Lepisosteus oculatus: one gene and its partners. The protein of the gene in region 1 interacts with the protein of each later gene in a pairwise test. Links are inferred from orthologs where the notes say so. Each region holds a gene or a part of one and is shown in the gene's direction. Other genes may lie near its edges.

Region 1 (7,165 bases):
TGGTGAAAGTGGGGTTTCTTCAAGCTGCTTTTCAAAGACATGCTCACTATGTCATTTGATGTGTCTAAACACTCCCTCTATGTGAGTCTAGTGACCGATGATGACCTACTGTGCCCCCTGTATCTACATCGGTGGGCTGTGCCACACTGCAGCCTTCTGGATGAAGCAGCTATAGACAATGGGTGGATGATGATGAAAATACATTAAATGCTCATTTAGACACTTATGAAATTCATATAAAGAGTAGTTTATGTAAATGTATAAGCATGTGTATGGGACAATGACGCAGCATCATACATAATGATGATAAAATATAGCCTTCTCTATCAAGTGGTGCTCTGTTTCCTCAATGAAATCCAGTATGAATTCCATTGAGCTGTGCTTTCTCATGCAGGATTGGGCCTCAGCCAGAAACTCTCAGTATTAGCAGTTTCAGATGTCCTTTTAAGGCTATTATGAATTGGATTAGCAGAAATAGCCCTCATGCAATCACCCTGCACAGCAGGAGCACACACTGGCTTGTTAAAGGGGTGTAGTTATACCACTGGGTTCATACCTTCTGGACTAGTATGAATAGTTGGCAATACTGAAAAGTAAAGCCAGGATAATTCAAACCATCAGAAAAAAAGAGTTGTTTTGTTCTAGATCAACTGATAAGGATGGTGTTTTATATAAGAACAAGTAATAGGTTTATTCCACGCTTGAGAAGAGAAGAAAGAAAACACAATGTTTCGGCCATGGTGCCTTCTTCAGGTGTGAGAGAGACAGGGCAGTAGCCAAAGGTAATGTAGCGGGAGAACAAAAGCTGGGAGAGAGGAGGAGCGCGAGGCGGGAGCAGGGGACAGAGAGTGGCCAATCATGGCTGTCAGAGGTGAAATGAGAAACAATAGGCTTGGAGAAATCTTTAATCTTCACAGCCCTAACAGTCTCCTCCCTGTTTCCCCAATGTAGATGGCTGGGTATTTAGTGCAAGAGATACAGTAAATAAGGTTGTGGAGGATACAAGATGTCATCTGAGTGATCCGGAATTGTCCTGAGGGACCTTGAATGAGTGTGGTGTTAGATATGTACTTGCAGGTGATACAGCGAGCTCTGTTGCAGGGGAATGTACCTGGTGTGGATGATTGTTGAGGGCGGTCAAGGGAGATGTGAACAAGAAGGTCACACAGATTAGGTGGTCGGCGATATGAGATGATGGGGTGGTCAGAAAAGGTGTTTAATATATGTAGGTTTGGAGCTTGTGAAAAAGTTTTACACTAAAGGACAAAGATGGTGGTTGTAGAGAACAAGAGACAGGTAATGAGACACTTAAGGGAACATTAATAAGGGATTATTTATCTGAGCCACGGGGCAGTTCTTCCACCTGTAACAAAACATGATTCCAGCACTGAAATAAATCTAGTTGAACTGCACACAGAAAAGTAGAAAGAATGACAAGCCTGCTTCAGGTATGTGGGAGAGAGGGAAATGCTGAGGACCTGAAGACGTGTCATACTTTTCAAACAACGCCTGTACTTCTGGAATTACTGGTACTTTCACCTTCACAATGTGGTCAGTTCAAGCTTGACAAGTCTTATTCCACGTATTGTGAGAACATGCATTTCAAAGGCATTTCAGTTAATTCACAACTGAAGGCAACACAAAAGCAACGTTCAAGTTTTAATTGAAACAAAATATCTTATAATATAAATAATAATGTAAAAATGCTGCCCTCAATAAAAAAGATGATTGTTCAGTTCACTTATTCTAGGTGTACATGTAGGTGTATGTGCATGGTATATAAGAAACAGATCTTACATATTAAGCTATTATTGAATAGTACCCAGTGCAACTGAAATTTTAATCAGTAACATTGACCTGACACAATCAAATCTTGTTTCCCTAATTAGATGGTCAGGAGGACTGCATTGAGTTTAAGGAATAGATCCATTCTGAATCATATAAAGTTATGTTTCATAAAATATATTTAGAAAAGCCTCCTACCTGAATGAAGCCCCGACTAGCTCTGTTGGTAGAGCATGAGACTCATTATCTCAGGGTAGTGGGTTTGTGTCCCACGTCTGGTGCCAGGTCCTCCATGCTGGAGGTTGGGCACAAGGCTAACAACCCTGGCCTGTAAAACAACTAATGATACAGTAACAACAACAGGATGTTACTGCTCCCACATGTCGGAAGGCATAATGGGCAAACATCCATCTACCTGAATGACCAATTATTGTAAATAAAGTAACTGGCTAAGGAAAATGGCATTCAGCAATGTCATCTGTTTTCTTTGTGATAAGGTGTGTTTGCAATACCCAACAAATGTAAATCTATTCAATGTATAAGTAGATTTGCAAAGATTCTTCTTAGTTTATCGGTACATCATCCATGAGGTAAGACAGCATCTAAAAGGTTTTTAAAAGCATTTATTGTACCCCACCCATAATGACAGGCTTTTCTATTAATTCCAAGGCAACCTACTTTCAGATACTACTGATAAAACCAAATTCAAACAGGAGGCTGAGACAAGATTCCTGAAGGTAGACTGTCTTGTTCTGTAACCCTCTCTATCAGTCTGTGAAAAGCTTTCTGCTATGTTTCTGGAACTTTCCTCAGCTATGATAACCCCTAGTACAGAATCCTGTACAACACAGTTTTCGTTTTTATGTCCTTTTCTTTAATACAACTCTATCGGTATGCATTTGACTGTCCATGACATGTATTCCTTGTCTTGAGCCAAGACAGTGCTGAAACTGCTGAACTGTAGTGTAGTTTCGGTCTGAAGACTTTTAACCATGGATATGTAACGTAAGTTTAGATACCTTTTCAAGTGGACTTTTCAAGTTATGATCCAATCTTTCATTTACTTAACATAATATATCTTAGTTCAAGTCCTGTAGGTAGCTGCATCAGCATACATTGGCTGCAAAGGAACAAATAAAGGTGTATTCCATGCTGAAAAGAGAAGAAAAGAAACACAACGTTTTGGCTGTGGTGCTTTCTTCAGGTGTGGTAATAAAGGTGGAGGGGTGGCACTGTGGCTAAGGATCTGTGTCTATGGCTAGAAGGTTGCTGGTTCAAATCCCACAGCTGGCAGAGGAATCCTACTTGTTTAGGATTAAGGCCTGAGCAAGGACAATCTGGAGAAATTGGTCTAGCCTAAATTGGATCCCTTGGAGGGGGAGTGTAACCAGGGAAAAGCCATGCAAACACAGGGACAACATGTAAACTCTCCACAGACAGACACCTCTAACTAGAATCAAAACCAGGACCATAGAGTTGTGAGGCAGTAGCACAAGTCACCATGTGCATGTGCTGCCCAATTAGCTTCTTAAAAGTTTGCGACAGAAAACGTTTAGCTACCATTTGGCTGCAAGTCTTTTTCAGTATGTAGGCTATTTCCTTATTGGCAATTAGAATTGTGCACACTACAGGTATCTGGCCTCTGAGCTTTGTGAACCATCGTTTATTTTTGCCAGTGCAGTTGAAAAGCAAATCTACATAAGACTTGCACATAGTTGCATGATTTTTTGTAGCATGTGGGAACTATTTTTCTGCTTTTGTGGTAACTATTTTCTTCACCATGTGAGACTACAAGCTGCTCTCTGGTTGCTTATTACTCATCACTTCCCTGAATTAGAATTAAAGTCAAGACAACCCATGATTTCGCACAGAACAGACACAGCAAATAGCACCCAAGCAAAAAGTATTATCTTGCTTTGGTCCAGATTTTTAACGAGACTTTCCTGTTTACCTTGGATAGTTCCACAGGAGTAAAAGATCAAACGTCAGTAAAAACCTACCCACTTTTTTTTTATCTTCCTTTTTGGTATTCTGCATAAGACAATGGGATCACTACCCTTTCACTTCAGGATTTTCAGTAGGACTTTCAGGCGTCACCTGCGTCCAAACACATCGACACCGGAGAGTGTAATGAAATGAAATACGAGTTCTGAAAATCAGGTTTCATTTTGCTGATCAGCAAAAGTGTAAGTCATTCGTGTGTTTCGGTTTTTCTTCTGGTGTATCCATTGCTATACTCAAATAATAACGTCCGCCCCTGCCTGAAACGACCTCCTCTCTCTCTCTCTGCGTCTCTTTCCCAGTCCCTCCCAGACGGGACAGTATTAGACCTAAAACCCCAGCTGCCTCACGCCCGGCCCGGTGTCCTTGTTTTGTACACACAGGACTGCCCCCGGTCCACGTGACGCCCTGACGTAAAGCTCAGCCTGCGTCTCTCGCTCTGGTGCAGGGGGTTTCCAACATGGCGTCCATGCAGGTGAGTGTCCAACGGGAGCCGGAGCCGCTCGGTGTAGTTTGGGTCCGCTTTTTCCTTCTCGCCCGCCTGCCTCCGACACCCGACGCGGCGGAGGCAGGCGGGTGCCCGGCGGTGGTCTCTGCCAGCCTGGGAGTCGGAAGTGGCGGCCGGGGGAGGCTTGGAAGTGCGGAGAGAGGCGCCTGGCTGCCCGCAGCCCGTGTTGGTGGTGTATCACCTAGCTGGAGCGGCGGGGCTGTGTGCTCGCACAGGTGATCGCGGCGGTACCTGGAGATCGGGACGTGGTGTCCAGCTAGTCATCGGAGATGTGTGGACGCGTGTTAAAGTGTGTGCTGTTCTTTTTTGTTTTTTGGCCAAAAAAAAAAGAAACGTAACAACGACTAAGGGGATCTTCAAAGTAGAAACCAGGATGTTTCCTGGAGTTTCTGCAAGGAGACGACTGAAGACGAATAACGACGTAGGCGGCTCTTGCTTCACAGTGCATTTGTTTCCCAAAAGAGACAAACAAACAAAACAAGTGTGCGTTTGAGTTTTGTCGATGTTCTAGCTGGGGGGGGTCGTTCGACGCTTTGGAGCAATTTCTAATTTCGAGAAATTAGTGATGAGCGGTGGTCGTAAAATATTCGTTACGGCAGATGGTTCTTGAATGGGGGTGAAGGTGGTGGTGTTTTTTTTTTCTTTCTTCAGGGGTAGCTCTGGCCCTTGTATCAACCCCAGCAACGGGACAGATCAGCGCTCCCGGCGCTCCTGCATTTGGAATAATGAGTTTATTCCTCATGATGCCTCTGGCGTCGGGAACGCCGTGTGTTTATTTTTAAAAAAATCCGTCACAATGACCTTCTTCGCAGAAGTTTTCTGTGGTGTTGTCACGGGTGCTGTATTCAGAGAGGCCCCTTTTTTTTTCGTTGCTAGGCTTTTAGTGATTGAGATCGCTCGGACCACAGAGCACCTACCGGTGTCTGCCTCTTTGTGTTTGGAAGGGCTGTCACGCACAGACACATGCTTTTAGTCGGAGACGGACTTCCACGACCGCTGCACTCAGCACTGACTTTTATAGATCCAGATTCCTACTAGCCTACGAAAATAATGCCCCCCACTCCTCCTCACCATACTGTTGGTGTCATCTTCCACACATTTTTGATTTGGGAGGTTTTGAGGTCTTTGGTAGAGAAAAGTCAGTATGCACAGTTCAAACTGGTTGCTAAAAGCTTATATAACTGGACTGGTCTTGTATTCTTTTAGCAAGGGTGTCTCCATATCATAGATTAGAAGAAACTTTTTAGAGATTGTCAGTCCTACACTATTTTTTTTAACCAAGGCAGCTTGGATCGGGTGTTAAACAGTTGCCATTTCAAATTTCATACCGTCACAATCGCTATGCTTTTCTGAAGATGTGAGTACATTCTGTTGGAGACTAGTAAAATCATTCTTGCAGCCTTGTTTTGTAAGTGTAACCCATGTTAACAAAAAGCCAGGAGGAATTTGCTTTTTCTTTTTACGTGTAGTTAGACGTGGCAGCTCTTTGTCATTTTTACTGCTGTTTTTGTTCTGAAACTTATCTTTCCAGCTGGGAACCCGGAATAAATGTGACTCCAATCGCCGACACTTTTAATTTGTTTGGTTGGCAGGTGCCCTCATCCAGGGTGATTTACAGAATCTATAGAGCTTGCATTGTGACTAAGTACAGGGATCCATCAAGGAGATACAATAAGGTAAAAACAAATGTATGACAGTAAGGCTCGTGTGATGAGTGTAACTTTGATTCTGTTGGGGTTTGATAAGGATACAATAGGGTTTAAAAACAACAATAGGGACAAACTGGATAGTGATGCAAGTACTGTGCAAACAGTCAAGCTAAAACACGATAATTGCACATCTGTGACAGATCGTTTACATTACGGTCTCAGTCAGTTTTTAAAGTGTTTTTGCCTGGAAAATTCTTGTAACACCGTAAATGCGTTTTGCTCCTCTTGTATCCGAAGAAGGTGACCCAGACTTATGACTTCACCTTGGAAATGTATTGATTCATATCTTGCATACAGTGGACGTGTTCCTTTGGGGGAAGACACCTTATACTCCAGCAGTGTGGCATCAAAATTCACCAAGATCTGAAATGCATGTACTGCAGCCCCCAGGTCAGAAGCTATTTATAGTTGTCATCGTTATTTCTGGGAGCCTCGGAGCTTTCATGTAATCAACAAATTTGACAAGAGACACCTTTCAAAAATTTGTCTTGGATTAGTCCTACTCTAAAAGAAAATATTCTAAATAATTCAAGCAATCATTAGGAGCTACTGTAAGGCTGATTGTGACTCCTAAGGTCTTATGTTGATCCCTGATTTTTTCGGAATAGTTCTGTTTTTAAAAGCATTTACCTGAATATGTGAGCTTTATAGAGTATTTCAGATCTTTTCTTTTTTTTCTCCCACTTTATAAGTTTTTCCTTTCTGCACGCCCTCGTTCTTTTAATGAAAAACAGTTATTCCTATAACTCCTGTTTGGTGAGTTGTTTGAAAACTTTAGACCGCGTAGCCCTGTGTGGACCTGGAACCCTGAGATGGGTAAAAAAAAACTCATTTGACTTTTTCAGTCACTAGTTAGAAAATTAGTTTTTCTTGCCTTTTTTTGTTTTGCGAAAGCTTGGCAAAGCTGTCTACTTTATGTCCACTGTTCTGGAATAGGATAACTCTACCTTCTACCTTCACGTTGCAGTCTTGCCGTTAATAATATCTTCAGGCAGTTGTCTGAATGACCGTTGTGTTTTTCATTGTTTTCAGCTTTATACCCACGCAGTATAGAGTTTCCAGTTGTTTCTCTTGGTGAATGCTCACGGCTGTCCCCCCTGTACTGCCAGGGTGAATGAGGAATTGCTCTCCTTACTTCCTCGCTTATCAGCCAGTCATTTTT
Region 2 (7,342 bases), on another chromosome or scaffold:
TAATAGCTGTGGGAATAAAAGATAACTGATGGCCAGATGAAAGGAGCTCAAATTCACTGTGCAAGGCGTGGTCATGACAGTCAATGATTATATTGGCCTTCACCGGTATTAGTTTGACATAGATATCTGAAAGCTGTAGCTGTTGTGCACCTTGCTACCTTCAGAATCCTGCTCAGTCTGTTTTATTGCATGCATTAAGCTTACCATACAAGGCTACTGAAGTGAATGTTAGGACAGTTTTAATGGAAGTTCTATAGAATAAAGTTAATGTTGTAGTTTACACATTAAAACAGTTTTCTGAAGAAGAACAATCGCTGTTGGCTCTTCTTATATTTGGCGTCTGTATATTTCCTCAAAGGTTAGTTTGTAATCATCAATAGTGCCAATATATTTGTAACTGTTGATAGTTTCAATTTCTTGCTCTTCAATGACTGTGGGTTTTGCAGCTGGTCATTACTTTCTATAATAAATTATCTTGTCTTTGGTTTTTGACACATTAAGTGGAAGGAAGGAGTTGTTCCGCCATCAGTGTCAATGTCTTATAGGAGACTGACAATGACAGAGTAATCAGCAAACGTAAGGGGTTGTCTCTCCTCAAAAGGGCTTTACAGCTGTTCATATACAGAATGTATAGGATGGGGAAGCACACTGCCTGAGGAGAGCAAAGTTACTTTAATATAAGACCATTTACCCTCACTTTTGTGTGATCTTTTGGTCAAAATGTCTAAAATCCAACCAATATTGAACTGTAGACTAAAACTGGAGAGTAATCTCTTCACTAGCAAGTGTAGTTGAAAGGTGTTAAGGTGGTGACTAATGCTGTACAGAATCTTAGAAGGGAAGTCTTACTCATGCATTTTGCAGTTAACACTCCTGATCTAAAGTCTTTGCTATAGCTAATCTTTATTTGTGCTGATCAATGTGCAAATACTTAAGCATTTTGTCATAAGAATGAAATTATTTTTTGTCTTCCTTATTAGTTATATATTTAATTTTAATTATAGGCTTTGATTGGGTTTTGTTTCCTCTCTGTAACTTATAATTAGATTTTGTGCAGGATAGGTTCCCACTATCAATTAAATGCACAGGTTGTGTGGGATGAAAGGGTGCTGTTGTTAAATACCTGTGATTGTGTATCTTGTCCAAATAAATACATGTATTTAGTGCATGTGTGGGCGGCATTGTGAAGCAGGTGTTAGCATTGTTACCTCGTGGTGCTGGGGCCATGAGCTCAATTCCTCAATATCTACACGGAGCATGTTCTCCTATTGTTCATATGGGTTTCCTCTGGGTGCTCCAGTTTCCTCGTGTAGGGTTAATTGGCTTCTGGGAAAATTAGCCCTAATGTTTGAGAGTGTGTGTTTGTGTCTGTCTGCCCTGCAGTGGAACCCACCCAGTGTGTATCTTTCTTTGCACCCATTGCTTGCTGGAACCTGGCAACCCTGTAGGGGATAAAGCATTTAGAAAATGTATGGATGGAAGTCCATGTGTGAGTAGTTGAGCTGGGCAGTGATACCTCATATTCTCATTCATATTTAGTAAAATTGTAAAATGAATGAATATTAATATATTTCCCTTTATATACACAAGATCAAGCCAAAGCTGACAATGGACTGAAAAACAGGAATTCTCAGCTGCAAAAATAAAACAATATTTCAGCGTGAAAGTTAATAATGGCTCAGCACCTGCTCTACATTCTTTCCTTATGCAAGAAGAAAAAAATCTTCTAGCCCCTGAGCTGTAATATAAAATTTTACATGTTAATCAGATTTGCACCATGTAGAACTGTATTACAGGAATGCTGAAAGACAGAGAAAATTAATAATATACAGCCAAGCAAGTGGGTTAGAACTTCTGAACTTGTAAAGAGGCCAGGAGACCGCAGATGCTGACATCTCAAACGCTCACAGTCTGGGCAGCCAGCTCATCGACAATCATGGAAGAATCTGCAGACCGGCCAGATTCACACTGGCAGAGCCCACATCTTGGCAAGCGACTAGACTGTTTAGTGCCTCTTTTACCCCCAAAAGAAAGGTTCTCATCATGTCTAAAAAAACATACAGAAAAAAAAACTTTCTGACTGCCCGGGATGAACTCAAAAATAGCTTGATATTCTCAGAGGGCAGGGGAAGAGGCAAATATTTTTTTTCTGAGACCAAACATGGGCATGTGTAGGCTTTGAAATGTTTTAGGAATTACTTGGTTTTCAAGCAAGTATGCGGGCGAGCTCTTTTTGTAGAGAAAGTGTCTGATGTGATGAACTCGTTTTGTCAGGGGAGCTGTACTCTGGTCCTCAACCACCGAAATCCAGCTGGGTTTTAAGGTCACAGCCTCGTTATTAAATCTCGGGGACAAAACAAATTATTTGATGGTATTGCAAAAGGTAAAATCGTGAACTTTGTGAAAGTACTGTATGGTCACCAGGCTGTCGCAGGCAGACGAGAAATCGCTGGCATCTCGATGGGCGAGAGCGAGAGTTTGTGAGAATTGTGACATGAAAGTGGCCCTTTCTGCTCACTAGTCGCTGTAAACAAATGAGAAACATGGTCTCCTAACAACGTTAATTATTATGAGTGTATTTCACCTGGTTGTTCTTTATTCACAATACTAAAAAGTATCTAAATACATATTTCTTGTGGCTTCATTAAAATGTTCACTTGGTCTAAAGCATGTTTACAATGTAATAGGGCAGCTGTTGCATCACCAGAAGCTTTGTTGCTTCATTCTGAATCACAGACAATGATGGCAGTGTGGTGCTACACGTGTATTGAAACTTTGTCTCTGTTGTGATGTAAATTGGAGGTTGTACACATTAGAGTGTTCTTGGTAGTTTCATTACCGATTCATTATACCCCCGAAATGTAAAAACAGCATTGCAGTTTCCTCCTAAGAACAAGGAAATGCTGCAATTAATCCAATTAAGCAAACAATGATTTCAAATTAGGATTAAAGCACTCTGGTGGGAAGAAAACCAGAAACCTTTGCTTTAGAATAGTTTTGCTGTATAAAGACCCTCATGAAAGTGTACCTTGCACTTTAACTCTGCTGTGCTTGCATAAATATTTTTACCACCCATTCCTGTTGCTACAGTTTTCTCTAGGTTTCCTTCCCTCTCTGCTACAAGGTCTCATCCTGTACAGGTTTTCCTCATCCTGGTGGTCCACACATTCCTGCAAAGTTTCATTATTTCATTGAAACCTTACCTGAACTAATTCGCTGCTTGACTGGAATATTAGCAAGTTTTTTTTTTCTTACTCATAGGTTTGTGATATTATTTAATTTAGGAAATGCAATAGTTAAAATGTAACCTCCAACACGTTTAAGAGCTGAAAAGAGTTAACCAGTTTAAATGTATTCTATTTAAATTAATTAATTCAGTCAATTAATTAATCATAAGGGCTCAGTTTGTAACTGAGAGGTGGCCGGAAGAAAAAACAATCTCTGGATCTCCGGGATCAGGACTGGGAACGCCTGCTCAATCACATTTCTCTGTGCTTTACACATCACTTCACTCTACACTGTAAGCTATTGTCTGAGAAGTATTGGGAATGATATACCGGAAACTTTGTTCCCAGTCCAGCATTCGTCATGGGTTGTGATGAGAGAAGTTATTGTTTAAAAAACTGCATTGAAGTTAATTCACGGTATTGAAGCTGAATGAGCAGCGTCAACTGTACTTTAGGAATGCTGCACTGCAGTAAATCGGAGAACGAAATACAGAAACACTGAACGAAATATAACGTTATCAATACAGCCAACAATCGGATAAAGAAATCTATACTTCGTTTAAAGCGAATCAACTATTTGAATTATTAAAGGTGCACTCGAGTAAAATTAATTGAATTAATTTAATCCCGGTTTAAATGTGTGTATTAAATTCCTTTAAGTCCCAAATGATTCTATTTCTTACTGATGTTTTATTAATTTCGTGATTGCACATTCTCTATTTTTTAACGAGCTCGGTATCCAGAACATATTTAGTTATACCTAGCGTTCAATACCATACAGAACAAGTCTTCGTCATGTTATTATTTGAAAATTGGAACAGGGCTAAGACATTCTCTTGCTCAAAAGAAGCCCCGCCTGTTTACGATTGAAAGAACCAATAGAGATGCCTCTCAGCCTCTGCCACTCCCCGGTTTGGAAAACAAAACCGCAAAACTACATTTGAACAGACTAATCACAGCCCAGGTGGGATTAACCCTTACCTCGCACACATGTACTAAAAGCTTATGATTATTATATTATAACTTTATTAGGATGTGATAAAGCATAAGGAATAATTTTAGGAACACTGTTCTTCTATAAAGACCTAGTATATGCATTAGACGTATGAACAACACACATACCTGAACTAGTACTGCGCAGATTAATGTTTTATACATCGCCCTGCATCTACAGGGACACTACTTGTGTGGTATAAAGACAGGGCATGAATACGTCTATGCATGTTTGTGCGAAACCCTGTGATGAATGATTAATGAACATCTTACTTCAGCTATCCTTTTTGTTTGGAGTGTGTCTAGCATGTTGTTTTTTAGAGCACGTTGATTTAACGCGCGGTTGCACACCTTGTACTATAGATAACGTGGAGGATTGTTGTATCGGCGCTCGCTTGCTTCACCCTGGCTATCTCCTTGGCACCTCGTCGATCGGCTCAACGTTCTGCTGATAGAAACCGAAAACAACATGGCCGCGGCCAGGGCAATCTAACTTTTGTTTGGTAGTTTCATAAAAAGTTTGATCGTGGCTGTCGTTGTTTATTTCCCCCCTCCAGAAGCAAAGAGTTCATTTCGAGATAAACCATCGTAGTCCCTGAAGAGACTGAAGATATTTCCTGCCCCCTTCCAGCTCTTAGCTGCTTTGCTGATTGATGAAGTGCAGAAGGTTTGGATTGGGAAGTCAGTATTGACCGTCTAAGATAAAACTAAATGCCGTTGCAAAGGGTTATTTTGCGTAGATGTTGATTTAGAGTATCGGCGTTTAGTAAAATCCTCAACGGTTGTCTACGTTTCCAAAGGTTCTTTAATTCTCAAACTAGAATTTTGAAGGAGCAATGTATACGATTTCCGTCTTATTTTAATTCCCTTGTATTTTTGTAAACGGACAAAACCTCTAATTAAGAATCGGAACTGTAAATGTGCAAAAGATCTATGGGTTGAAAGTGGAGAGAAAAATCGCACAGGAATAAAACAGACACAAGTGCTTTCACGGTCATAATGTAGCATTTAGAGAAAATAGCACGTGTGGTTGTGTCATCCCGATAAAAATAAAAGGAAGCTACTGAATATCCGTAAAACATTCCAAACCCCACACTAATCAGGAAAGCAACCAAGCAAGAAATGGGTCTGGTGTACTTCGTGTTCTGCTTCATCGGGCGATCCATAGACTTGCTGTGCTTCATGTTGGACTTGAATTTTTGGGTCGTCAACTCTTTGATGAGGCTGCTGTGGGCTGTGTTCTCCTTCATCTACCATCTGCCCGCGCTCATCACCAACGCGCTGCTGGGCTGCTGGAACCTGATTCTGCTCGGCCTGCTGTCCGCGGCGGAGGCGGTCGTGGGGTTGGCGCAGGGCTCCCTCAACGCGCTGGGCGGCTGCCTGCGGGCCCTCTGCGGCGTCCTGGAGAGCTTCAAGATGGTGGGCCACCTCTCCTCGCACGTGCTCCTCCGGGCCAGGGACCTGCTGCACCGCGGCCTGCTGTCGGGGCAGTCGGTCCTGCGGCAGCTCTGCGACGGCTGCGGCATCGCCCTCAGCCTCGTCCTCTACTTCGTCAACACGGTCGTCAACATGCTCCTCATCGGCACGCAGAACTGCTTCGCCCTGGCGGCCGCCACGTGGGAGGTGGTGTCCGGGCCCTTCCAGAAGGCCCTCGAGCTTGCCCTCACTCTCTTCAGCTACCTCTCCAGCAGCCTGGTGGGCACGGCCATCCTTCTGTGGACGCCCTGCCAGGTGGCGCTGGAGTTCCTCTGCTCCCTCAGCCATATTTTCATCAGCGTCTTCCTGCTCAACCTGTACGGCCTGGTGCTCACCCTGGGCATCGTCTCGGCCACCACCCTCTACCTGAACCCCGACCTGTCCCGGCGCGGGGCGGACCGCACCCTCCACTACATCAGCACCGTGCCCGCCCTCTACCGCCTCCAGCGGGTCCTGCAGCGCCTCTACCTGCTCGCCTTGGCGCGGGCGCAGGCCGTGGTGGAGGCGGACGTCTGGCAGCGAGGAACCTGGCCGGGCAGCCGGGCCGGGCACAGAAGAGGGGCTACGCAGGCAGCCACGCCAGCGGGAGGAAGTGTGGGGGCTGGCGCCGGGGAGGTCAGGCAGCCAGGGGTCATGGAGGAAGAAGGACCTCCAGTGGGCGGAACGGCCACCCTCATTCAGCACGCCCTAGGTCCCCCAGAACATGCGGGCGGGCAGGGGGACGAGCCCCCCGAGAACAGTACCCAGTCTGCCTCTGCCACCCCCAGCTCCAGCATGGACAGACCCTTGCAGAGGTGCCCTTCAGCTGAGGGGTACAGAGGGCCGCCCCCAGACAGCCTGCTGACGATGCTGAAGGAGCACGAGGAGAGGAAGAAGTGCGTGATATGCCAGGATTGCGTCAAGACCGTCCTGCTGCTGCCCTGCCGGCACCTGTGCCTGTGCCGGGACTGCGCCAACATCCTCCTGCGCCAGCCCATCTACCAGCACAACTGCCCGCTCTGCCGCCAGATGATCCTGCAGACCATGGACGTATATCTCTGAGCCGATGGGCTTGAGGACCGCGAGCACGTTTTTACACTAATGGAAAAGCAGTGCCTGCTATTGATGCTGGCAGGAGGGTGAATTGCAGGTTAATGAACCAGCTTCTCAATTAATTAGATAGCCTCTCATACACTAATTTACACTTGTAGATGTTCCAGTCTGTTCCATCTCTGGCTCTAAAAGGCAGCTACATAGTTGAATGGTTAATCAGCCATCAGTAGACAAGTAGCAAGATGTCACTCCAAGTGAGTGATCAAGCCAGGACTGGAAAATGCAGTTCCATCGGTATTTTATCATCTTACTTCAGTCCATTTCTGGAAGGTGTGCAAGGTTTTCAAACTGTTTCTCGTTTTGAGATGGACTTTTTACATTATTATTCATTTTCTTGTTTTGTGTATATATGGTAAATGACGGCATTAACTCATCTGTAAGAAGCCGTAGTCCCTTCTTTTTTGGCACGGAAATATAGTCTGGCCGGTCCTATTGCATTCCTGCCTGGTGCTCTCACCATCTGATTGTCCTTCTCCACTGGCTGTCACTTTTGAATGTGATTGAAATCCTCTCGCAAGTTATTATTTGTCTGCTGCTCTGCTTTTTGACATAGT
Region 3 (8,235 bases), on another chromosome or scaffold:
TTAGTCTTACCTAGCTGGTCCAGGTGGCTAAACACACTTGCGCCATTGTCTTTGACACACACAGCCACAACCAGAGCTCTTAAAACACACATCTTTAAGCAATTAGTTTTAACATTTTTTGTAAGTTTTTTTAGTGCTACAATTCATTATTCATATTCACTAGGTGTTGCATTTGTTTCCAGAACGCAGTGGCTACACGGCATTATTTTCATCTTGCAATTGTTTTATTATTTGTTTGACCTCTAGGTCTCTCCACATAGAATAAAAACCGTGGCCTGTCTTTTCTTCCATCTAACCAGATCCCCACTCCAGCAGTTGACGTACACTGCCATCCTATCAACAAACACGCTTCCCTCTCTCATGTTTTAACCTTCTTATGTTTCTGCATCGCATACTGAGTTTATTCATTCTGGGATATTTACGGTATGGCACACTGCTACTGCACCCAGTTCCTGCACAGGTGTCTTGCTCAGTTGACTCACAAAGCCACGCACAATCTACATGGTCAAAATTACTGCACACAGTTCCACCAACCCCCGATTCTACCATGTAGCACACAGCTCCACTGACACACATTCCTACCGCACGATTTTAACTGCACACAGCTCCACTGACACCCAGTCCTAACGCACTACTTTAACTCCACAGCTCTCTGTCACCCAGTCCTACTGCACTTTAACTGTACGCAGTTCATCCGACACCTGGTCCTACAGTGCGAGTAACACAGTGCGAGAACAACCCCTGCACGAAGTTCAACCATACAGTTCTTACTGTGTGACACAACAGCACAACAGATCTGTTATTTCACTGAATGCTTGCCTGAACTCGCCCCTCTGTAAATGCTGAGTTCTGAGAATGTTGAGGTGTGTTGAGTTCCCAACGGAACTCTCCCCAACCAGCAGCCAGGTAGATTTCCCCAAGCCCTATCTGAAGGTGGTAAAAAACAGTGCTCACCATTAGAAAGCACCAGGTTGCCATCTTCGGAAAGTTCCTTCCTTGGGGAACCCCGCTCACAATGCCAAAAAACTGTTAGAATCCAAACCAGGAGTCAGAAAATATGAGAGTGGGAGTTCAATAGAACCAGATTTATTCGATCTGCAGAAAAGGATAGTGGACGGTGACTAAGTCTACCATCACACAAAAAAATCTCAAAAATTAAAAGCAGACGCAGCAGCTTAAGTTTACCTTATTTGTGTCACAAAAGCTTGTTCATTTTACAACAGGTTATTCGTTCTAACAGATGTTTTTATTATTTGTTAACATATCTCAGGAAGCCAGCCAAGCACATTGTGTCCTCTCTCTTCCAATTACACTTCCTTTGCTTTTCCTTTCCTGAATATCTTATGGGTTTCTTGTTAGAATGCCATTCCCATGCTAAGCTTCTGCCACTTCAAGGATAGGTGTTCAGCCTTCACAGCCCGAGTTTTTCAGTGCTTAAAAATGGGGGTTTGGTATTTGGGACACTCACCTGCACAGTGTGTGTTATTGATTCCCACTTCCCATATAATTGCCTGCTTGTAAACTGCAAAATTTCACAAAGAAGTCAAGCTGTATTTTGTGCAGTTTTCTGTAGGCTGAATCTTCTGGCCTGAACTTTTTCATATAGCTAAAGACATTTATCCCATTGTAATAATTCTTCAGGCAGTGTATTTTATTTCATTTTTAATGCTACATATTGTAATTGAACAAAAATCTATATTTGCATGGTGGCACAGTGGTTGGCACTGCTGCCTCTCAGTACTGCAGATGGGGTGGACATGATCTGTACGATGGAGTTTGTAAGATCTCTCTATGCTAGGGTGGGGTTTCTCTCACAGCCCAAAGTCATACTGGTAGGTTATTTTGGCTTTTGGAAAAATTGGCCCTGCTGTGAGTGTGTGCATGTGTTTGTGTGTGTGCTCTGTGATGGACTGACGTCCCATCAGGGGTGTACCCTGCATTCCACCTGTTGCTTGCCAGTATAGGCTCAGGCTCCCCTGCGATCCTGAACTGGATAAAATGGTTAGAAAATGGATGAATGGAAAAGTATAGAATATCCATTCCAATCAAGACCATATACAAATGATAAAATATTTAAATTGATCCAAGAGCTGTGAAGAAAGTTAAAGTATCTCTCATTTTGTTTAACATGACAGATTTCCACTTTAACCCAAGACATCTACTCTCTTTTGGCGTATTAAAGTGTAAGTCGGTATGACTTTGGATTGTGAGAGAAAACCCACCCAAACATAGAGAGAACTTACAAACTGCATTGTACAGACCATGTCCACACTAATTAAAAGCATCATTCCCTAATTGTTCTGCATGATATACACTGTATAAAGTATGGCCACAATGAAAAAAGTTTAATAGAAAAGAATCATTTGCTGCCATTGTAATTAAGCAAAGCAAAGGTTTTTGACATCTAAAAACACTGTGAAATATAAATACAGTAAGTATACACAGAATACTGATGAATTAACATTTCCCACAAACCTTTCACCAGATGGAAAATGTATATTGATTGCTAAAAACAAAAGTTACAGACATCTTGGAATGAAATTATAGTTATGTGCGGGACAGCTATTGTTCAAGGAACTAGAAGGCTGGTAGAGGATACCTCTCAACTGCTTGTTATTGATTTAAAGACAAAAAAATATATTTACCCGTGCAATTACAAAACCTACCCCCAGAAGTTTCAGTTTTATGAACAATTGATTACTTCTGAAACCTGATAACCACAAGGGACAAAGCTCTTTTCATATATTATTGTGATTCTGCAAAGTTGATAGACAAACAAACAGTTTGCCTAAATTTAAATTGCAAAAAGAATAATGTAATCATTGTTTGGTAATGATTCGAGACCCCCCCTCCCCCCAAAAAAAAAACAAACAAACAAAAACTCAAGTATAGAAGACTCAAATATATAATCCAAATGATTAATAATAATTATTATTAATATCAAATACGAATACCTGTAGTTTTAGCTGGATCAAACACCAAATACTTTGGTGTTTGATCAAACAGTTACAATACAATGCCAATCGAGAATTATTTTGAATACATTATACATGTATGACTCGTTTACTAAAAGGCAGCAACAAAAAATCCCATTTAAAGCCGCTGCAATGCTGTGCAATATCATTGCTCCCATAAGGTGGCGCTATAGCGACTTGTGTTCCGAACCGAATTCCATTTCCCTCTTTACAGGTCCGTGCGATAATCAGAGCTGTGAGAATACGTGCCTCTTGGATTGCTGTTAGGTTCACAGTTCTGTCATACATTTTACACACATTCACTTAATTCTTGTACTGCCCTCTCAACTGCTAAAGAAAATATCATTGTAAATAATAAATTAGAATGATTACACTACATAAGTAGCACTTTTTCTGGAGACTACACTCCCAGCACTTCACAGGTAATGGGGACTTCTCTCCACCACCACCAACGTGTAGCAACCACAGCTGGTTAATGCTTCATTAATCTGTCTGACGGCAGCCAACGTGTGTCAGAAACTCACTACAGATCAACTATCAGTGGGGAGGAGAACAGTGTAATGCAGCCAATTTATAGATGGGGATTATTAGGAGGCTGTGATTGATAAGAGGCCTCCAGTATAGTACATGACTCCTCCCATAAACTCTTTGCCCTCCTACCATCTGGAAAAAGATATTGCAGTGTATGGGCTAGCTCCACTAGCTGTAACAGCTTCTTCCCACACGCTGTCAGGCTCCTCAACACCTTGGAATTTACTTGCACCTGAGTTTAAATCCCCCCAGTGTGTTGTGTATATTGTATTATGTATTTGCCTTGTAATTTGCACTATATGTATCCCGTCTACAATGTCTATGTCAGTGTTCTGTCTGTATTTGCACCGTGGACCAGGAGGAATTATATTTAGTTCCACTGATATTTAGTTCCACTTATGCCAGCACCCATATCACTCTGCAACTCACAACTCACAACTGGCAACTGGCAACCTATTGCTGCTAAGCAGGTGTGAGCCTGCTCAGTACCTGGATGGGAGACCTCCTGGGAAAAACTAAGGTTGCTGCTGGAAGAGGTGTTAGTGGGGCCAGCAGCATACTGGGGCCAGTTCTAATGCCCCAGTATAGTGATGGGGACACTATACTGTAAACAGGCGCTGTCCTTTGGATGAGATATAAAACCTAGGTCATTAAAAATCCCAGGGGGTTTCTCGAAAAGAGTAGGGGTGTAACCACATCCTCCTGGCCAAAATTCCCAATTTCCCTTACCAATCATGGCCTCCTAAGTAATGGCTTCATTACTCTGCTCTCCTCCCCACTGATAGCTAATGTGTGGTGAGCGTTCTGGTGCACTATGGCTGCCGTTGCATAATCCAGGTGGATGCTGCACAATGGTGGAGGGGAGTCCCCATTACCTGTAAAGTGCTTTGAGTGGAGTGTCCAGAAAAGTGCTATATAAGTGTAAGCAATTATTGTTACTGTATACCTGTACATGGCTGGAGTGACAAATAAACTTGAATTTGAACTTGACAAGGGCCGGGGGGAATTTGGCCGGGACACCAGGGCGGTCACACTCCTAATTTTTCTGAGAAAGGCCCTGAAGTTTTTAACGATCACAGGGAATCACGGCCTCGTTTTAACGCCTCCTCTAAAGAACAGCAGAGATACTGTGCCATACTGTGGCTTTAGCACCCACAAAGACCCGGTGAGCACCCCCTACTGGTCCCACTAAAACCTCTCCCACCAGCAACCATAGCCTTCCCAGGAGGTCTCTTATCCAGGTACTGACCAGGCTCCATGTGCTTAGCTTCAGTGGGCTGTCAGTTGCACGATGATATAGCTACTAGAACTATAAAAACTAAACAGCCGTTTCGATGTAGAATAACACTGGTCGTGTGCATTTATCTAGGAATGTGGCAGGCGTTTGTTAAAGCTTAATTTAATATTTCATCTTTTATTAAAACGTAGCTTGTTCCTTTTTTTTAAGTTACGGATAACTTCCTGTTCACAGTATGAAGAGAGAACGAGAACACTCTTTCTTACTCGCCCTGAAGAGGGAAAATACAGACCTTCGTGATACGTCTACACTGGTAGCGCTTATGATACAGCTGTACCGTTTTGCTTTTAGTAATTGATATTTAATACTAGAGATACAATAATGACAGACATTTGCCTATAATTTATGACTACTATTGAGGGAATTTCTGCAAGGGGCACTCCAATCAAAAAGGTTTGAAAACCCCCATGCTACCCACTGTTCCTGAAAGCGCTTGATGTCACATGCGTAACTTCCGGCTCTTTAACATAAATTGTACGGAAAGCAAGCGAAAAAAGAGAAGGTACCCGGAGAGGAATCAAACTAAGGACGCGAAAGGGGACACACACTGTGACAGGTAAGTACCAACGTGTAGCAATTATGTTTATTGAGAACATGAAAATTTACAGTATTTAAATGCCTTATTTAGGGAAACGGTGCCAGATAGGACATAATTGTTTAAAGTACATCACCTTGTTCCTTTGCATTACAATCCGGATAGTACCAGGAATACGTTCGGAAATATACAGCGAAATGAGAATGCGCATTTTACTGAAATATAGCATAGAAATTTATAAAGATTTTGCGGTCGTCGGAGATGTCATGGACTTGGACACTTTCAGTTAGTGTTTCGAAACCATGAAGGGATCCCTGGTACTTTCGGTAACATGTTAGTTTCAGCCACTAGTTAAACATGATAAGAATAACACTGTCAAATTGAATATCTTACTTTTATAGCAGTAACTTAATTCTAGATATTTTCCCTATAATGAGCAAGAATGTTTCCTGCGTTTTAAATATAGATTTAGCTTGCTTACCGCTTACGAAACAGACTGCATACGAATTTCTCATGTATGAAAGGTGAGATTACTTTACCTACAGATGAGAAACATTAAGGGTTACTTTAATGTAAATACGAGAACAATATTAATACTAGAAGCTGAAGTGTATACTTTGGCTTTTGGTGTACTTACAGTGTATTGAATTTGGCGGTGTCGGTAATCCAGCTTTCAACACTTTCAAGCGCATGGTGCCGTTGGACATTTAAGATCTAGTTGGGTTTTCATTTAAAATATTAAAGAAAATTCTGCAATAGCACAAGATGTTTTATTAATAGGTTATTGGTGTTATGTCTTTAACAACAGAGACATCAGGGTTCTTAGCATTAGGGTCTTAAAATGCTATTGAATATTTAACCAGGTAAATCAATAGACAGACCTTTTTCTTATTTACTGTCTGGAAGTGCCAATTCATTATTTTGAATACCTTGCTCAATGGTACAACTGTGATGGGATTTTAACTTGCCATCTTCCAGTTAAAAATCCAGAGCCCCTAAACACTAAACTGAAGAACAACAGGAGTTTTAACTGAGGCATGTTTATCTAAATGCAATTTTATGTAGTGTTGTCTCTTTGTAGGAACAATAGATATACATAACATTATTTTAAGAAAAGTCTGCCCTCTACAAAATTTGGAGAGTTTTATAGGTTAAGTAGTTGAGCTGTTATGGCTCTGGTATTGGCTGTATCTAACTTTGCTTACAGTAAATTAAAAATGACCAGTGTGTGAGTTTATTATAGGTCTGTAATAATAGGTTAGAGTCTGTAAGACCTCTACCAATGTTTTTAGTTTTATTACAGTTTTAAGTTAATCTTATTGGAAGATACCAGATTAGTTAAAATTATGTTGCTCCTTTTCAAAATAGGTTTCATTTTGTGTCACTTATTATGAATTTGGTTTGTGTGACATTTTGCAGTGTGAAACTTGTTTTTAGAAGGATCAAATGTTTGTTTGTTTTTTGAAAAGGACACGTGTTACAGGTTCAAAGTGTGGGAACAAGGGCTGTGATTGATCGGGGTATGTTGTTGCTAAACAATTAACCTAGTGCTCATGCAACTACACAATATTGATTTGTATGCTTGGACACGTTTAAGTTCTTATTAAATTCTAACAATAATCTACATGTTAAAGCGAGAGTAAGGATTATTTTATCCAGTAATTTATTAGTTTAGATCTTAGGTTGCCAGGTGTGTTAAGAGACTGTAAGGGAGTGCCGCATTCCTGGGCTGTACTTTGTGTCCCTTACACTATTCATGATTTGCTTTGATGAACAATGTACTATCGGCTGGTTACTAACAAATCTAGCAGCTAGGTTCAGTACCCTTGTTTAAATCTTAGGTACACATCATTTCTCATCTAAGTCTCTTACACCAGAATTCCCTAGTCTTCATAAAATGCAGTGCCCACTCACAACACCTACCTCGTTGAAATTGCTGTTTGTGTATGTATTTTAGTGTAGTCAAGAATGTATTTCATAAATGACTATGATAATATTTTGAACAATTTTCAAAACTCTGTGAACAACAAAATCTACAAAGCTAGTTTGAGATGTGAGTAGTAGAATCCCTCTAGTACTCAGAGTGAAATGTCCAATTTAACTTAAGCAATTTGCTTTACCCCTGTTGCTACCTATTTCATTCTTGTCATGTGGTTAAGCATCCATAGTTTCCTTACAGCATTACAGCATGAAGATTTTTCATTGTGCCTGACCTGCATGTTCTTTGAGTGTGTCTTTTGCATGAGAATGTTAAATAATACAGCTGACTTTCAAAATGTTACAGTCCAGATCCTACAGAGTTTGGGGAATTTAGAAGACAGTTAATGGAGTAGAGAGCAAAATGTAAAGTGGCACACTTCAAAAACTAATGAAGGTGGCAGTTTGATGATTACTGTATATACTTAAGCAGGATAAACTATAACTGCAGTTACAGCAATTTATAGTACGACTGCATGGATAGACCTAAATTGATTTGAGAGGAGTACTTTAAAAAAAACTAATTCATGCTATAGTCAGTGAATAAAAATAGTTTACTTTAAAATGGATATAGGACTGATCTCAGGGAAACAAGATGTTGTTCTCTTCAATGCACCTTTATACTGCCCATACAAATACCTTTTTATGGGAACTTCTCCAACTATGAAACAATACTCGCTGAAAAATGAATTTCCCCTTTGAGTGTATTAAAAGGGGAATTGTGATCCTCTTGTTCCTTTTTTATTTATTTTTTGTCATGTATTGTATATCTTATAGCCCAGAACTTAACATATTATACAATATGTAAGAGAAGAATTAACAATATATTGAAAACCTACTTTAACTTTTTAGTGAACATAAAATAAGAATTTGAATAATGCATAATTACAATATTTCTGTTGTGCTTATTAACTTTGAAA
Region 4 (8,257 bases), on another chromosome or scaffold:
AGCATTACACAGACTCCCTTCTGGGAATTAAACAGGAACTGAAAACCGTCATTCTGGTCTTACAAGAACTATACCCAGTGAGAAACAGTGCTCACATAACCCCTAGACATACTGTAGAAGTGAAATTAAGAGTCACTGCTCTTGAAAAGGGCTGCGTACATTAAACAGTCTCTCACTGCAAGACTCTGCCATGTCTCATCTGAAATGGGTACTTACTAGTTTGAGGGTGTATTTGTAGTCAGCTGTGGGGGCTCCAGTGGTAATCTGTTGAACTGAAAAGAGGTTAAGGAACAGAAGTTTTATTTTAAAGAGGTAAACAGAGGGATGATTCAAAGTTCAACAGTTTCCTGTATCAAATCAACATGTTTCTATTTGCACAGTGTATGTCGGGCGAGAGCGACTAAGGACAAGGATTCCACAGCAGAGATTTATTTTTCATTTCCAACAGTTCAAATACCATTTAAACTTCAGGCTAGAAAATGAGCAAACCCTGCTTAACAAGGTCTAAAATGACTATATTCATACAGCAACACGTATAAAACAAATTGAGCTTTTACTTCACATATCATTATAAACTGGCATCTCGCACTATTCAGAGTGACACAAGGACAACACTGACGATCAGCGGGGCAGTAAAGGACTGGTACTGTATATTATGAATAAGTCAGCTGAAAGAGCACAAAGGTCATGTCCTGCACTGCTCCGGCCTCGCTCACCTCCGTACAAAAGCTCCGAGTCGCTCTGGCGAAGCAGCTTGGTGAGCCTCCACTTCCTGCCCGCGGTGTCCGTCAGCAGCTCGCTCTCCTGGAGGGGCTCGATGCACATCCTCCGCGCTCTCTTGGGCGTGCTTTTGGCTGAGGATTAGGGAAAGAACGATGAAACACTGGGAACTCTGCAAAATCTGCGTTCTGACATTCGATTGCCCCGTCTTCCTCTCGTTCCCTGTTCGGTCCCACGTTGGCGTGGTCTGCACAGCGGAGATGCAGGAAGGCCAGCAGGGTTATTTCCCAAATCAGTTGTACTGGAGCCTCTGAAAGGCCTTCTCTATCTGCAGCGCGTGCCAGCATTGTGGCTGAAGCTCCCCCCCCCCTTTTCCACAGCCGAAGTGTCCACTTACCCCCAAGGGGGGATTTAGGAGAGGGTGAGGCCTCAGCGGTGCTCTCCTCTTCCTGCTTGACTCTTGGGGACGCCTGGCGTTTGCGCGGTGACAGCGGGGCACGGCTAGCTACACAACAGAGACCACGCGTCAGGGCCGTGAGCCAAATGGCTGCTGTGCTTGAACGTGCCCATGTCTAGACGCACAACACATTCAGCAAAGGGAAAGACAAGGAATGCTGTACATGCAGCTGTGCACCACTGCGTTACCTATCTATGAATTGGCTTCATTACTCTGCTCTCCTCCCCACTTATAGCTGATGTGTGGTGAGCGTTCTGGGGCACTATGGCTGCCGTCACATCATCCAAGTGGATGCTGCACACTGGTGGGGGTGGAGGAGATCCCCATTACCTGTAAAGCACTTTGAGTGGGGTGTCCAGAAAAGCGCTATAGAAGTGTAAGCAATTATTATTATATTATTACCGCCCAGTGTCACAACTCACTGCTGCTTCTGGCTGGCCACCCTGCTTACCTCCAGGGAGGCTCTTGGGGGATTTCGATAGGGAGGCAGCTGTCCTGGAGCTGACCTCCTCTTCCACCTTGACCTTGGCGGCCGTCAGCCGTGTTCGGCGAGGTGGAGTGAGCGATGGGGCGTGAGCGGGGCTGCTCTGACCTGCAGAGGAACGAAACACACGTCAGGGTTTTGAAACAGCTGCCCTTGCCCTTGTACCCTGCAGGATGTCTAATTAAACATGCACAGGAGTATGGGAAGGAGCAGGGCAGTGAGGGAAGTCAGAAAGAACAGAGCACAGTGATGTTTAATGAGTCAAGACTCAAACCATGTGAAGACTTGGAAAGCAAAGAGAAAGTGCAATAAAAGCACAACGCTTGAAACACACAGTAAACTACAATATTGGCCCACCAATTTTCACTAATAGCCTTCGTGACATTTTACTTTAACACCGTGAGTTACTCAAGAGTAGCATAATTACCTTCAGAAGTGAAGGATGAAAAGTAACTAAGAGTAAGTGGGTTCATCTTTACTGGAGTGCTATTTTCACAATTAGTGAACAGGAATGAAATGTTGGAAATGCATTGGTTAGAAACTTATTAAACTATATATCTACAGTATATAATGAGTCTCTATCGAGATTTAGGTAAATTGCTCTGTGTAATTCTTAAAAGACACCACAGACACGTCTACTTGCTCTTTTTTGATGGAAACCTATTTACTCCGAGATGGAATGGTAACCATTCCACAGTCATTCAAAAGCCAACCTCCCCCCCGCCCCGTGTAACTCAAATCAAAAGCACGGAGACATCCAAGCACAAGCCGCTTCTCCGAGCGGTGTCTGTCTCTTTCAGCAAGGCGCACGCTGACGTCCCGTACCTGGGGGGTCGCTGGTGGTCACCTGTGAGATCGCTGAGGCTGCAGCCTCTTCAGGGTCCTCAGTGGGCAGCTTCTGTCCGCAGGACGGACAGAACTTGAAGCCCGCCTGCAGCTTGGAGCCGCACTGAGGGCAGTAGTGAAGGATCATGGTGCTAGAAAGAGGAGGAAAGGTGCAGGCTGAAGTTCTGCTAACTGTGATGACTGAACTTCCTTCATGGTTCTAATAATTATTCCTTACACGTCTATAGCGCTTTTCTGGACACTCAACTCAAAGCACTTTTTTACACGTTTAGTTTGGCCCTTAAATATAAACACTTACAGACGATTGCTTCTGGGGGGGTTATATAAAACAGTTTATCGATTTAACTGACGTTTTCATGAAACCGATGATTGCTTAACGTGTTCCTTAATACAAAACCCCGGGTTGCGAGACGTATTTAATTTGTTTTAACTTATTCAGTATGTCTCACATTGTCATAAGCTCAGCGTGATCGACAATTAATATTCATTGCACAGGTCCCTACAAAGATTGACCACTTCTTGTCTGTTAAAATGAAATACATGTTTGTATTTAACAAGACGTACAACAATCGCATATGAAACACTGGTATGTCACTGCAGGACTGAGAGGCGCTGGCTCGCCCTGATTAAGACAAGTATTAACACCTCGGAAGCAGCAGAACTCAATTGCACCGCCACTCAAGTGAGTTTTACTGTGCAAAACAGGCTGCACAGTCACCGAAAAGAGGGCAGATTGTACCTCAAGGTCCAGCGAATCCACAAAAACCGATATAACTTTCCCTCGCCAAACACAACCGTCAACACTCCTACTTGAAGGACTTATCAGTTAACCATGTTGCACGACCAGCTCCAGCCCCTCAGGAACTGGGCCGCCTCGGCGTCACGTGACAATAACACCGCTGTACGTCACAGGACGGGGCGCCGCCTGGGCCAAAATGGTTTGCGCGTCCCGACGTAGCGAAGGCGTTGAAAACGAGACGTGCTGCGATTCGCAAGCGTGACGTTCAATTAATATTTTATAGTTAGTGAAATTTTTGTGACAGACGGTAACCCCTAATTGCAGACACTGCTTTTGTTTTGTAGCCGACTAAGCCACCTCTAGCTTAGTCATTCTCAGGATCTTAGGACCCTTTTCTCTCACAATAGGTTCCTTTTATTAATGAATCACCAGTGTCCCCACAGACAAAACACTTATCCAACATAATTACACCTTTTTATTACAGTTTCTCAATCTACACAGGACCTATGACACTACTTATCCACCAGAGGTACTTCCTCTCAGAACAGTTCCAGGACCAAATGCCCCAAAGGAAAAGTCCGTGTGTCAGACACTGGTCAGTCCACGTCAATTTAAAGTCAGCCTAGTCCCAGAGACCAGCTGTCCCTCACCTGGATTTGGTAACTTTCTGACAATTTGACTTTCTGTTGAAATAATGATTAATACAAAAAGCTATGTAATGACAGAGATACAACAGTCTATGCTGTATTCGTTGGACTATTGGAACAGTTGGAACAGTGTCAGGTCCTGAAGGAATGTTTTTTTTTTGTCTTAACCTATGAAAACTCTCCTGCTTGCCTTTGGGAGGAGAGGGGAAACAGGTCTGAAAGACAACATCAGAGCTCATCATGTCTCTGGGGAGAATGAATGGCACCAGCTTCTAATCTCGGTTTTTCTCCAGCCAGGCAGTTCTGCTTTCAAGTCTCTCTTAAAATATTTACTCCCAGAGTGATCCAAGCTGCCACAGCCTTTCTTACGAAATGGTTCAGGGCCGTCTGCTCTTCGCCACTAGCCGACACCAGTTTCAAAACCGAGCATTTTGCATAGGAGATCTATGAAAATAAGAATTTGCATAGAAAATCTATGAAAAGTAAGACTCTGGCGACATATATAAAAAATATTCTGAAATAAGGGGACACAAACCCTTATCCCCTGCGCTCACGGAAGTGATGCGAGTGATTTTGAAATTCAAAAAGTAAAAAAAAAAGATAAGTCTTACATTATAGAACTGTGTGTTGCGGAACTCATCATTCCCATAATTCCCCATATTCATTATTCCTTAATTCTCCTCTTTCTTTTTTGTGGTAAATTAGTAGGATTAATGTAAGAACTTTATTGGATGAGCATTTCCAAACTTAAGAATAGTTAAAATTAATTGTTATTGTAACCTAAAATATCGATCACAACAATGGATTATCCATTAAATTCTAAGAGAGTATTTGGAAATGTTTTTTTTTTAGTTTCTATTGACTAATCTGTCACGAATTAGCGACTCTATGGCAGCACAACCGGAAGGAGGGCTTGAGTGACGCTGACGCAAACCGGAAAAGAGGAGCTCAGATGGAAACTCCGAGAATTAGAAACTGGAGACGGACTGTGGAATAAAAATAAACACTGCCAGACTCGTTTTGCATCTACTGAGAGGACGAGTAGAGAAAAGAGTGGAGGAGACCGAATTTGTAAAAAAGTACGGAGGTCGCTGACATAGTTTGTTCGACCCTGGCCGGTGCCAAGTCAACTAAACCTTACCCGCATCACAGTGGAGGGAAAACGTATCAGATGGACTCTTAAAAAAGTGTATTTAATCTTAAAATAACGTCTGCATCTAGTCGTCGGGGCCGCGGTCCTCAAGCAGCTGTGAAACCGTTGTGCTGTCAGCCTGTCGAAGCTGTTGTGTTGTATAACAGGGCCACGGAAGGATTGTGCAAGTCTGCTGCTGAAGCAGTAACTGGATCCATCTGGAAACACTAGTAATATCGAGGCCAGAGAGTAAGAAAAAACCGCCCCGTTTTTACTCATTAGCAAAAGCAACACAAGTGCCTGCAGTTATCCGAGAAAATCATCAGGATTTAGCAGGGTTACAACACCCCCATGTCGCAGAATGCGATATATCGACAACAACTTTGAACTGGCTTATCCTCATGTAGTCCGTCCGGCCTGAATCTGTCACTCTTAATTAGTTTGACTGGGTTTTTTTTTTTACAACGTTTTACTTCAATAAAAAGAACCAATTTAAACCGTTATTGATCGCATCTCCGCGGTGTCGAGTCCGTGAAACAAGGTATTGAAACCGATTGTATTTATTGAACTCGGAGCCGGTCGAGCGCCAGGATGCCGTTGCTGTTCCTGGAGCGGTTCCCGTGGCCCAGCCTGCGGACCTACACGGGCTTGAGCGCGGTCCTGCTGGCTGGGAGCATCCTCAGCGCCTACAGCACGGTGACCGAGCCGGGCTACAGCCTGCCTGAAGCCGGAGACCCCCACCCCAGCCCGGGTCAGGACGAGAACCAGATTGACGGCGTCGGGAACGGAGTCGCTGCAGATGTGCTGTGGTACCTCGTTTCGGACAGCTTTTTTGTTTGGGTATGTAGGTAGACAAAACAGGAATCCAATGCAGATGGGTATTGTGTTTTACGTTATTCATTTTAAAGGGGTGGCATGTGTTCATTTCTTATTTTCAAATTAAATTGACAGTGTCATTCTAACTGTGATGCCGTTGTTCGGTTCCCGTACTCCTGTTGAGAGTATTATTTATTTATCTGCTGCCTTTCAAGTTAAAGTATCTCAAGGTGCTTTGGTCACCACTTTATAAAAATATATTTCTGCTCTGGGATCAGCCTAGGTAAGACCTTTTTTGTCTTGGAACAGAGAAGACTTCAAGGAGCCTGATTCAAATTTTAGAAATCTTCAGTATCAACAGTGCAACATGAACCAGAGAGCACAAATGGAAACTGTGTGAAAGTGCATTTAAAACGGTAAAACAGAAATAGACACCTAACAAGCCAAATTGTTTGACTGGACTCGTTTGGCTTCTCGCCATTCTTAATATTCTGAAGTTCCAGGGTGCAGTCCATGAATGCCAAGTGATTTAACTAAAATTAGGACTAATCGGAATACCAGCAGTGCTCAAGTTTCCACAGGCATGGGAGCTGATGAGAACAGTCAATGTTTATTTGTTGCAGAAAAAAAAAAAACATGACTTCATGTCAACTGAACAATTCGATCGTGCAGGAGCTTGGATTAACTTCAGATTTTGTGCAAACAGATGTTGAGTGGGTTTCTGTAACCGTGCTAAGTGGCTGTATGTTTACTGAGCACATTTGTTGCTTTACGCTAAACTACTGAAGAGGTTACATGTAAGGTGATGCCACATGGATTACAGTGTAGATTGTTTTTGTACCTGTGACTCTGTTTTACCCCCACAACACAGGTCCTGGTAAACACAGCGTGTTGCTTCCTGATGATGATTGCCAGAATGATTCAGTACATGGTGTTCGGCCCCCTGAGAGTCAGTGAGAGGCAGGTAATGAGAATCGGATTTCTTTTCCTTTTCACACCTGGAAAATTGAGAGGTCTAAAATTCATACTTATGATAAACTGTAGTGATTCAATTTTAATTGTGCGCAAAACTAAGCAGGCACCTTTTCTGTGATTTTGTTACGCAGGTATGCTCCTGTTTTGAAAATGTTGTGGGTTTTCAAGACATCTAAGTAAATAAGTGTGCAACAGCATGTTTACACAGTTACAGCAGAGTGCATCAGTATTGCATCACGAGATTGTCAAGAGGATTCCGGTTTAGTAAAAAGGCTGCATGATGTCAGTCTTCATGCTGAGATACACATATAAGTTACATTAGGCTTAACTCGGTTTTCTCAAGTTTATTTAAGTGGTAATGTGGACAATAAAGTCTGTTCTGTTAATCATTCACAAAACGCCTAGAGATTTGGTAACTGAACAACTTTAATCCCCTGAGAAGCCTCTCAGACAGAGCTTGAATGTGATGGTTTGGTCTGACTTTTCTCAGTCTTTTAATTATTTAGCTGTGAAGTTTATGTATTGAATGCAACCTTCTGATTAATTTAAGTAATGGTTGAATCTTTTTTATGGACTGAATTATTATAGCTAATAATTTTTAACTTTATCAGCCACGTGCCATTTTAGCTCCAACACCAAAAGAAATGCCAGCTAAACACCGAAGCAACCTTACAACATTCTGTGATTGCACGAGTGTTAGCAAAGCTGTTAAAATTGTTGATGTGAGCCTTAGCATCTGTCCGTCAATCTCTGCAGCACCTGAAGGACAAGTTCTGGAACTTTATCTTCTACAAGTTTATCTTCATCTTTGGCGTGCTGAATGTGCAGACTGTGGAAGAAGTGGTCATGTGGTGCCTTTGGTTTGCAGTGCTGGTCTTTCTGCATCTCATGGTCCAGCTCTGCAAAGATCGGTTTGAATATGTAAGTAGCACTGGACCATTCAAAAAGTCAGGTGTGTGCTGTTATTTGCTATGCAGTCTGTGCCCCGCAAGGCCAGCTCGTTAGACAAGCGATCTTTTGGAAGTCCATGAGGTGTATTTCCCGTCTTTAGTTTAACCCTCATTTTTAATGTCTTATGACTGGTGTCACCTTATAGCAGCTCCTCTGGTTTAGATGGTGGGATGTGTAAAGCAATCTGAAAGTACGGCTATTAACTTTTGTTGAAGGAAATCTGCACCATCCTGCAGACGTGCCAAATCCTTGCATACAGTGATTTTGTCACTGGGTCACATGAAACGGTCTTAGAAATGGACGGGAGGGGACAGAACCCCATGTTCTTCATGCTCTGTGTGCTCCCCAGCTGTCGTTCTCGCCCACCACCCCCATGAGCAGCCACGTGCGAGTGCTGTCCCTGCTGGTGTCCATGATGATCTCCTGCTGTGGGCTGGCTCTTGTCTGTGGGCTAGTGGGGCTGTCCCATGGAATGCACACTGTGGCCTTC

What was found.
Region 2: the proteins of ube2wb (region 1) and rnf26 interact in a two-hybrid assay, tested with the Homo sapiens proteins (2 studies listed by BioGRID and IntAct). The link is inferred for Lepisosteus oculatus from reciprocal best matches to the Homo sapiens genes UBE2W and RNF26.
Region 3: the proteins of ube2wb (region 1) and xiap interact in a two-hybrid assay, tested with the Homo sapiens proteins (2 studies listed by BioGRID and IntAct). The link is inferred for Lepisosteus oculatus from reciprocal best matches to the Homo sapiens genes UBE2W and XIAP.
Region 4: the proteins of ube2wb (region 1) and amfrb interact in a two-hybrid assay, tested with the Homo sapiens proteins (2 studies listed by BioGRID and IntAct). The link is inferred for Lepisosteus oculatus from reciprocal best matches to the Homo sapiens genes UBE2W and AMFR.

Annotation. Positions count from the first base shown.
Region 1 is NC_090701.1:53,366,835-53,373,999, reverse strand, and holds the start of ube2wb (probable ubiquitin-conjugating enzyme E2 W-B), read left to right. Parts: upstream 1-4,157; 5' UTR 4,158-4,246; coding exon 4,247-4,261; intron 4,262-4,724; exon of another isoform or gene 4,725-5,651; intron 5,652-5,886; exon of another isoform or gene 5,887-5,970; intron 5,971-6,300; exon of another isoform or gene 6,301-6,316; intron 6,317-7,165. UniProt on the Homo sapiens protein: Accepts ubiquitin from the E1 complex and catalyzes its covalent attachment to other proteins.
Region 2 is NC_090718.1:11,997,525-12,004,866, reverse strand, and holds the start of rnf26 (E3 ubiquitin-protein ligase RNF26), read left to right. Parts: upstream 1-4,087; 5' UTR 4,088-4,191; intron 4,192-4,583; exon of another isoform or gene 4,584-4,777; 5' UTR 4,778-5,342; coding exon 5,343-6,737; 3' UTR 6,738-7,342. UniProt on the Homo sapiens protein: E3 ubiquitin-protein ligase that plays a key role in endosome organization by retaining vesicles in the perinuclear cloud.
Region 3 is NC_090703.1:41,702,223-41,710,457, forward strand, and holds the start of xiap (E3 ubiquitin-protein ligase XIAP), read left to right. Parts: upstream 1-5,061; 5' UTR 5,062-5,359; intron 5,360-8,235.
Region 4 is NC_090715.1:3,658,160-3,666,416, reverse strand, and holds the start of amfrb (E3 ubiquitin-protein ligase AMFR), read left to right. Parts: upstream 1-5,234; 5' UTR 5,235-5,616; coding exon 5,617-5,865; intron 5,866-6,712; coding exon 6,713-6,805; intron 6,806-7,572; coding exon 7,573-7,737; intron 7,738-8,116; coding exon 8,117-8,257. Other genes in the region: serine/threonine-protein kinase VRK3, read right to left, coding at 217-272, 717-854, 1,118-1,225, 1,629-1,769, 2,487-2,634. UniProt on the Homo sapiens protein: E3 ubiquitin-protein ligase that mediates the polyubiquitination of lysine and cysteine residues on target proteins, such as CD3D, CYP3A4, CFTR, INSIG1, SOAT2/ACAT2 and APOB for proteasomal degradation.